Drosophila melanogaster: one gene and its partner. The protein of the gene in region 1 purifies or fractionates together with the protein of each later gene. This does not show direct contact. Each region holds a gene or a part of one and is shown in the gene's direction. Other genes may lie near its edges.

Evidence for each region.
Region 2: the proteins of Rim (region 1) and Fife purify together in Drosophila melanogaster (affinity purification with western blotting; one study listed by BioGRID). This does not show direct contact.

What each region holds. Positions count from the first base shown.
Region 1 is NT_033777.3:17,913,271-17,918,556, reverse strand, and holds the start of Rim (Rab3 interacting molecule), read left to right. Parts: upstream 1-1,978; 5' UTR 1,979-2,418; intron 2,419-3,392; 5' UTR 3,393-3,603; intron 3,604-5,286.
Region 2 is NT_037436.4:2,708,653-2,713,818, reverse strand, and holds the start of Fife (fife), read left to right. Parts: upstream 1-2,128; 5' UTR 2,129-2,467; intron 2,468-5,166.

The sequences.
Region 1 (5,286 bases):
CTTAGAAATTGTAAAGCATCTCTTCCTTGTAATTACCTTACAACACAGCATTCGCTGGCCCCAAGAAATTCTTGTCAAAAACTTCCTTCGAGAAAGCCCCCTTTGCAGTCTCTCTCTCTCTCTCTTTAATTGCGCATTTCGACTTTTCTTGGATGACATCTGTTGGCCTTCCTGCCCTGCGTCCTAGCCCAAGTATGTTTTCTTCTTGTTTTTTCTTTTTTTTTTTTGGTTAAAATGAAAATCAATAAAAAGCTCAATGACGTCAGCCGCCCAGACACACACACAAACGCACACACACGCACACTTACAAAGTAAGCGGCAACATCGGAAAATGCTGGCGGCCAAATACAGCTCCTGGCACTCCCAGACTCCACCTGCCACTCCCCCCGCCCACGTAGCTTGCTCTCATCTCCGCCGGAAATCCAATCGCTCCCCTTCGTGTGCCAGTGTGTGTGTGTGCCGGCGACTGTGCGAGTGTTGCGGGTGTGCGAGTGTTGCGAGCCGAAGACACTGCACGTGAGCAGGCTATCAGCAATGGAATAAGAGTTTCGACAGCCAGAAACGCGTTTATCTTTCTGTTTTCAGCTGTCATACGCTGAGAACAAATTTGTAGTTGAATTAAGACAAACTAAAGTAATATTCTATTAATTAAATGGTTTTTAGTATTATAATAAAAATATTTTTAATTTGTACCTAGATCAATTCCCAAACTAAAACTATTGTTATATGGGACTTTGATAGTTAAACTACAAATAAGATACTGCAGATATTTGTTCGATATATTTAATAACTATGCATTGATTCGTATGCATATTAGTAATATTACTTATTTATTTCTCTGTAACTCTGCCAAAGGCATCCAAAGTAAAGGAAATGCACTGGTGAAGGAAGGCTGGCCTGGAGTGGCTGTGACAATTTACGCCAAATCTCATGATGGCTGCGATAAGCTGACAGATAAAAGCGATAACAGCGACGACAACTCAAGCCAATTGAGAAATATGCAACAGAAGTGTACAAATTTTTGTGGGCTTTGAGTGTTGGATATTTTTGACAAGCACGTGATGTGTTAAGGTCAAAAGTTGGGCATCCAAAAATAGATTTGGCTCAAATGGATTTAAAGCAGATCTAAGCAAGCGAAATCATTTTAAAGGAAATTGCTAAAGTTTTAGAAGAAATAAATATAAATGAAATTACAACTAAGTATAAGTATATATAATGATTTCTAGCATAAAAACTATAATATATTTCTGTATTTCGCAGCTTGTTAACCTATTCAAGTTTATTGCAATTTTAAGCTCGATTGAGCTGCCAAATCTTTTCAATAATATTCGCTGAGAAGGGATCATTTCCCTGCCCCTCGAAGTATGCAATAAAGAGCGATTCGTTCCAAATTGGCGCTGCTGCTGCAAGAACATCCCCAAATGCAATGAAAAACTGTTTTTCTTTTCTTTTTTTTTTTGGCAACAGCAAGCAAGGGGAGGAAGTGAACAGTGAACATATTTCCATAAACACACACGCCCCCCATTGGATGAGGAGTTGAATTTTATGAATATGCAACACGATGTTGTTGCTTAATGTTTGCGCAAAACAACCATATGAGCATGTAATGCCCAAAGGGGGCGGGTATTTGGGGGTGTGTGGTGAAAGTTGGAGTCACACACTCGGCAGTTAGTTTGTAGTAGGTGTTAAAATTGCACATGAAATATGAAAAGCCACTCATAACACTGAGAGAAACATGTGCTCCCACTTGCCTGGTTAACAACTCCCTGGTCAATTCACCACGCGAACGACAGGCAGTGTGTGTGAGAGAGAGAGAGAGAGAGAGTCCCTTTTCATGAGAGAATCCGAGTGATACGGGGATAGCGAGAGAGAAATTCCTGAACTGCTGACGACAATCGAAGCGAATTCCTGATGTAGGTGGGCCATATCGTGGGCTCTATAGCTTTTCCAGCTCCAGCTGCGGGTCCAGTTTTCAGTCGTTGTCGTGCCGTCGTGATGTCGTTGCCGTCGTCGCATCCGTCGTCGTTGTCGTTGTTGTTGTCGCCGCACTCCATCTAGTTGTTGTTGGTGCAGCAGGCAGTACAGCAACAGCAACAAAATCACACACCAGCAGAAAGCAGCAACATCAGGCTTTAAGCGCCAGCGAACAACAATTAAACAAGCGAAAATTGCAGCAACAAAAAAAACGAAATGAGCTCGCTAAACGGAAAATTCATTTGCGCATATGGAATGCTGCACACATAGTTATATACATATATATATATAGCCACACATACAAGCATATATATATAGATATATACGTATATGTTATACACACACAAATCTACATAAAATCTAAGTGCAAACCAATTGTGATTTAAGCTAATGACCACAAACGCAAAACAGCTCCAACAACCTACAAGAAAGTGTATAAAAAATGTAAGAAAATTCTGCATTTTTCATTGGTCTCCACGACAAAATTTGATTCGTTCACTTTTTTTTCCAACTTTTTTCCGCCGTTCGTGAGCTGGTTGCTTTTTTTCTGTACACACAACGCCACGCAATCCCACCCAAAAACTCGCCTCTCTCCGCTCTCTTCTCTCCTCGACTTCTCGCCTCTGTGCTCCTTTGTTGTGTTGGCCGTGATCCTTTTGGCCAGGATTCGGTGCGGATGAACGCATTAAATATGCAGAAAAATAAACTAACACACACTCAAGGAGGTCTACCGCAGTTAACGACTGTCCTTCATCCTTGAGTTTTGTAATTATAATTTGAAATATAGAAGATTTCATTGACACTGTCAATTGCTTTGATAGGTCATAAATTTAAAACAATTTCATATGGAAAAAAATTACTATTAATGTGGATGAAAAGTCAGGGGAGAGCGACAGTTAACGAGAGAGAAAGTTCACCACACACAATCAAAACTAAAGAATGTTAGCCAAAACAATTATGACAAAAACTATTCTAGTAACTAAACTTTCTCCATTCAATTTAAAATGCCTCGAAATTTTAATTCAAATCGGAGTAAATATTTTTTTATGTACAACAGTGCGTATGATTAACTTGGCTAACCCGCGTTGGCCTTTGGCCTCCGTTCAGTGTGTGGTGAAACCCAGTATTGCCACAAAAACGTCCCAGTATTTCCTGCCAGCTGCAGTGTGCTCTCTCAGTCGCTCACTCGCGCGCTCTCGCTCTTTTATTTCCCCAATGTGCGCGTCTGTGTGTGTGAGTGTTACAACAATAGTGGCAGCATGCAACATAATTACAACTCAACTTCAACTTTACACTTAGACGACAAGCGAAGCTCGCTAGAGAAACAACAAATGTCGAGCGCCGCTGAAGTGTTTAACAAAAATAAGGAATACACATAAGTGATTAAAATCCATAATTAATGTCTTTCTACCGAACAGTTTTCAAGTTTTTTAAGTATATGAAATTCAACCAAAGCCTTGTAAATAGCCAACAAAATACCTAAAGAACAAGAACGCTTTTATTATTAAAAACAAAACAACAACAGCAAATAAAACCAAATTAATTAACTCAACTAAGGAAAGCCATAAACAACAAACAACGAACGAATAGACAACGCCGTTTACACAGCAACCTGATAGAGAAATGCATGTAAGTTAAACTAAAACAAAAAAAAAAAAGGGTATTTCGAGTTGTACCGAATGACTAGTCTTATGTACTGCAAAGTCAACGAATCAACGAAGCAACAACATCAACAGTTGCCCCAGACAATGACGAACAATGGCCGAGAAATTGCCACAGCATATAAAGCAAACTTAGTCCCTGTGTTCTCTCTGTTGTGTGCAGTTTACTTCTCTTTTGTGGCTGTTACTGCTCTGTTTACTGGGCAATAATGAATAGTAAATGTGGGTGGTGGGTGGTGGGTGGTGGGCGGTGGGTGTTGGGTGTTCGGTAGTGGGTGGTCCTTCGATGGGCGTTAAATTTAATTAAAAGGTAAACTAGTAGCAGACAGCAACAGGCAGTCAGTTGGAATCGATTTTCCTTTTCACTCGATTCACTTGGCAAATGGCGAACGTCACTAGGCAACAACAAAACGAATTGCAGGAATGGGATCGTATCGGATGAGATGGAATGGGTTGTGGATGGGTATTTTGCCCTACAGACAAATGATGGTAATGACGACACACAAGCACCCACACACACACACACACACACACACTAGAGCACTAATACACTCGCCAAAATGGACGTCATAAATGTTTGACAATGCACACGGGGCGTATGAGTAATGGCAGTGAGCCCACAATTGGTAAGGGGCTTTGTTGTTTGGATACAAGTGGGCGTGGATGTGTGGGCGTTCTGTTGGCTGGTTGGACATCGCTGAAACAACTATCTATTGACACTGTATCCCCCACTCATTTTCTCCTCCCCCACCCTCCCATGTAACCAACATTTTGTGGGGGTCAATGGGTGCATGAAATTGCTTTTTATGCTTCGCTGTCGTCGCTCGCCCTTCTCCCACTTTCACCCCCTTGGCCACGTCCATTGAACATATTCAATGCGCCTTGTTGGGCCAACTTTTAGCTACGTTATACCCTATATTACACCCTCCCGTTGACAGGTTTTGTCGCTTGCATTTGTTCGCCGTTAATTGCATGGAAATTGTGCGCGCAATTGAAAAAGTTGAACAAGCCAAACGACAAAGTGGCATTGTTCCAGCTCGCCTTTTCCGGGAAAGCCCACAGATATCCTTTTCGACCCAGTCAATGACTTGTGTTCGCTGGCCGGTGCTGCAACTATGAATGAATAAGTGCAATTATGGGCTCTAGGACCATGAATCAAACGAAAGGCGGCTAGCCGCGACTGTAGAATGGTCATTAGTCAGCAGGCTGGTCGGTAAAAAAAAAAAAACCCATAAGACGTTCCATTTGGCAGGCAGCCGCAAAAAGTCACCAAGTCATTGCCTCGTTTATAGTTTTTGGCTGCAGCAACAACTAGCGTGGCAACTTGGCCACGTTTTCTTTTATGGCTCTATTGGAGTGCATAAGTGTGCGTGTTTATTTGTTTGTGTCCTGCGAGTACTACAATAGTGCAGTGCATTGCACCCGTTGGCTCGAAATGGCTGGCGCCATGAAAATTCGCTCGCCAATTCAGTTATCTGCATAAATTTCGAGCGATCTCCATGGGCGGCGTGACGTCACGGAGACTGAAATACATACATATACTGCTCGATAAGGAAACCCCCCGTTGACAGGTGATGTCAGTTGATAAATGACCCAGTTCATAAACGAGCAACCAGTTGAAGCTTCGCCCTTTCAGTTGGTCAACTAAATG
Region 2 (5,166 bases), on another chromosome or scaffold:
AAATGGACGCACGCAGGACCCTTGGCCAAAGGCAAAAGGTGTGCGTCAGGATTACGCGGCATTTCACCATTTCAGCATTTCGGCATTCGAGCGGCAGTGGCGAGGGTCCAAAGGATATTCATAAATAAATATCTGCAGGCATACAAATTGATAAGCTGGCAGCCAGGTCCCGACCTAAGCCCCCTGCCACACACAAGGCCGTGCCCAGGATTCGAGCCCCCAGAACCTGGCATCTTAATCGACAGACGCTGCATACCTTTTTGGGGGCCTGCGAAATCGCCAGTCAACTTCCCGGCCGAAGGGATGGGGCTCTCGAACAGGTCCAATCCAAACATCCCCCGATGACTGGCTGGCTAACAGGTAAACACTGGCTACACTCGAAAATAAAATGGTTCGGAACATGCATGAAAAAATCAACCTTATATAATCTTATGTTATGAGGATAACATTTCGAAATTTAGGCTTATGTATATGATTTTATCAATAGTAATTAGTTATACTTAAAAAACGTTCAGATTTTAAGTAGATTTTCTAAGGTTTTTAGTGATTTTTCCAAGTCTACCCCTGCGTGATTTCTTCTGCAGCATTCTGATGCCGTTCGTCCTTCAACAGACGCTGCTCCTTTCACACGCAACGCCTCAGCTCGCGTCCTTATTTTCCCTTTTCCACCTCGCGTTGGCACATTTTCCTTTTGCTGCCTCCTCAGCTTTTTTTCGCAGCTCCCCCTCGGCCCCTCACCACATTTCTTGGGGCCCATTGAATTTCATTGTGCGCTCAAATTGTTTTGGTATTCAAGCTTAAAGCACGCGACTGCTTCTATGCCTGTGGTCGGCCATCCTGCTCCTTGGCTCCTTGTGCTGCCACTGTTCCTTCTGTTTTCTGTTTTCCTTTTTTTTTGTTTTTTTTTTTTGCTGCTGCAGGTCCTGCCAGCGAGTGTGCTGGTGTGCGTGCGATGTTTTCGTCCTCGGCGATGTTCTCTGCCTTCCAGCGTATCCTGTTGCTTGCGAAACGCAACCAGTTGAACATTTCCAGCAGGACTCTCTGGGCCTCGGCTCCGCTCGGCTTTCAATATCGTCCTCCGGCGCTCTCTCGCGCTCTCGGGAAAGGATTTCTCTGCTTTTGCTCTCTCTGTTATTCGGCTGTTGCTTGGCACATGTTTAACGCGCAATTATTTTGGTCCTGTTGCGCTTTTTCCATCGCCTTTGTGAGAGTATGGGTGGCTGGATGGCTTAGTTTGTATTCAGACAAAGTCAACTTAAAGTTGCTAAAATAACGTAATTAATTCTGTTATTGAGCACTCAGAAATACACTTAGTTTCTGGTTTTAGATGGATTTTTAAAGTGCGTATATAAGTCCCTAAGGTAGCACTGGTAATCATTACTCCTTTTATTTAAGGATGAATTTTTTAAATGAAAATTCCCTAATACTTTGAATTCTAAACAAACGGTTCTTATAATTTGTTTTACTTTTAAAATTTATACTATACTTCCATTGCACAATTTAAATGTGCACCGAGTCATCAATCAGGTTGTTCCTCATTTTATCACTCGTTTATTTTAATAGAGATTAATTCATCAACATTACGATTATTATTATTATTATATTATATTATTCAATAAGTTCCGCTCCTTAAAAAGCCCCTAAATATCGTGATACCACCATCTCCATGGACATCCACATCATGATGGCCATCAGCATCATTGCTGGGCATGCAACAATTATGAAAAGTCTCCACTCGGGTACGCTTGTCCGCTCGTGTAGACCGAAATCGGCGGCAGGATGGCCGAGTGGATGGATAGAGAGCGCGCACCTTGTGGCAAGTGCGTGTGCGTGGGGGGGCGGGGCATGTGCGATAGGCGACGTTCGCAGCTGCCTGCATCCGCATCCAGGGAAATCGCTTAGCTGTTGCTTCGTGTGCGACTCGCAAGGTGGAAATTGATATTACTTTTTAATGCTGGGCCAGCTGGTGGCTGGCAGGACTTCCAGTGCGCGACAGGGAGGCGGTTATGCCGAGGAGCGGCCGTGCGACAGAGAGGGCGCGAGAAGCGAGAGCGCACTGCTTCGGCTCGAAGGACCAAAAGTGCCAGCCTCGTCACAGTTCGAGTTGAGCCGTCTCGCGAGCAGGACACCAAACGCGGAGGCTGACATATCCTGTCGCCAGGAACTTGGCAACTTGGGTACTTGGGAAACAGGAACCCAGGCTATAGGAGCTATAGCCTTTCTAACTTCTCCCGGCCAAGGTGTGCGTGTGCGCGAGTGTGGGTATCCTGGCTGTTGCTGCTGCTGTAACGGTGTGTGCTTTGTGCGTATGTGAGTGTGTGCGTAGCCGTGTTGTTGGCCAAACAAAAGCCAGAAGAAGTGACGAATAAATTTATAATCGCGCGCTTAACACACGCTACCTGAAAATATACATTTTGCAAAAAGTACTACTCTCACTTTAAGACTAAAAAATTGTTTAGACGCGCAGGTGAGTTGAATTCGTGTGTGCCAAAAATTGTTGTTATGAAAGGACTCGCGTGGCAGGCTAGCAAATAGTTTAATTTCCGGTCTGGCCATCAGGCGCACATCCGGTTTCAGTTTTATTTCCGTCTGTGCTCACTGCTCATTCACATGTTCCAGAATATATCTGCCAATTCTTAAATTCATTTCATAAATACGAATAGGACTTTTAAATTTGAAAGGGCAAAGCAATTTTTTCAGAGGTACCCACCACAAACTTAAACTTTTAAGCAGTAGTTTTCTTTTTTTGTTAAATCATATTTGCTATTTAATATTTAAGAAGAGTATATTTATGTGCCTTATAAAACTCCCAAGTACTTAAGAATTTTTCAAGACCTCGAATCGTTACTGCCAACTTTGTATTGGCTGGAAAAGTGCTTGGAAAAAGAATAAATGTATTGCAAAAGTCCCTGTCTGAATTTGATAAAATACCATTACACAAAAGGTATTGATTCCTGGTCCTGGCCCCTCCAACTAATTCCAAACGTATTAACCAGGCTTATGTCTTAGCCCTTGGGGGCTTTGAGAAAAGACGGCGGACAAACACCTCACAGGCTGGAAAATAAAACAACTTAATGAAGCAAGAAATTGAAAACATTATCAAGGCGATTAATTATTGATACTTTGATGTTGCCGGCCCCCGTCTAATTAATTTATAATTAAGTTAAGCATCTGCCCGGAGCTCACTCTTTGGATTTCGCTGCTTGAGCTTTAAGTCGAGGATGAGGAGCAACTTTAAGCTGTCTTCGGCACCTGCTTCAGCAATTTTTGCGATTGAGACTTTATGGACGTGACCCGCCTGCCGTATCGATGGCAATCAGATTGTTGGGCTGTTTGGGATGACTGGGGTGAGGCTTGGCTAATGCCTGCTTCTGGCCAGCCAACTGTCATTACTCTTGGCCCTAATCCCTGGCCGAGTTTGTGGCGCTCCACTCGAACGGATCCTGAGCCCCACAGCTGAGCCCCTGCACTTACACCTGCCATCGCGTCTGGTCGAGGTCTGCTCCAAAGTGCCTTTATTATGCCATTTTAATTTAGATTCCTATCAATCAGTAATAAGCATTGTGTCCACCCGCACAGACAGCAAAAAAAGCGTTAAAAACGAAGAGATATTAGCTATTAGGGTCAGGAGCATTAGCTTAATATCCGCTTGATTTTTATTACAAAAACTTGATTAAATTGGATTTCCACACTCAGCGGGCAAAGCGAAAATTGGGTTTAAAGTAAATTTCAGATTTATGAAGTCAGAGAATTTTGGGCTTTCTCTTAATCCATTAAATATTACTCATATTTCCGAACATGAAATGTATTTTTCCCCTTTCAAGGGTGAAACATCAATGTCATAATTTACGAATTCATTTGATTGTTTTTACAAGACTCACAATTTGTATTGATATTTCCCACAGTTTTCGCAGAAAGTTTTATAGCATTCGAAGGGAGTAAACAAAGTTGTTTAGTTTTCCTGTTTTGAGCGGATATGCAAATCAAGCGGCAAAACTCATTTCAGTTTCCCCACAAAATCGCCAACAACAAGAAGACAAGGGAAAAGTTAACCAAAACAACAAATGCTAGGCGAAACTGATGAAAAAAAAAAGAAAACTCATTCGGATCGTTTGCATAAATTTGCGTCTTATTTTGTTGGCAATTTATATGCGCAGCCGAATGACACACGCATTTTAATTGAAAGCAAATAAAAGACTCTATAATACATAATATGACAAGCCATAATCCTGACAGCAACAGTTATGCATGCTGACAGCTCGCAGCGTAGGGAAAATGTGGGGAAAAGCGTGCCGAAAACTGGGTCGGAAAAGCGGTGGACTGCCGCGGAGTGGCGGACAAATCCGGAAAATGGACAGCAGGCAAATGCTGACAGGCTGGCCAGCCCAGCGAGTCTAATGGCATTTTAAACAACTGAACTGATGGCCAGTTAGCCCGCTTTTCCCTCGCATGTGTGTGCCCATCGAAATGTATTCATTAATGTCGTCTGCAAAGTCAAAGTGTTTAAAATGTTCAACACGCCCGGGGCACATCCTGGTATCATTATATCCTTGGCCCATCAAGTACACAAACACACGCACGTACGTGTGCAGCCCCAGGATGCCCGCAAAAGGATTAGGCCCTTTGTTTTGGCCCTGCCTAGCAGATTTGGCTCATTCTGGTTGCGCTTTAATCAAAAGCAGAAATTAATTAACTTTGTGCCGAGGATTCCAGACTTATCTCTTCACGGCGTGTGTTGTGAATAATGAACGTTTCCCGGACTCTTGGATTGCGAGATGCAAAATACCAAATTGCCGCTTCATTTGCACAACAATTTTTAATAAAGCAGCAGCAAAGTGAACGAATTTTTTCCCGTCGACGACTTTTGACCGGGTTTTCCGGACGTAAACAAGCGGAGGACCCAAAAAAAAATAAAAATAAAATAACCAAAAAACTGCGGGCCGCAGATAAAAAACGCGTAAACAAATAACCGACATAAAGCGCATAAAGTGAATGATGCTGGCCACAGGCGCAAATATTTATTTTACATTTTTAAATAAGTCGCTCACATTTGTTGTATTTGGCCTGATGTCGACATCCCATTTGATATATACACATAAAAAACTGATGCAGAGTAAAAAATTCCGTTTATTTACATGCTTCTTATCTGCTTTAATGCATTTACTC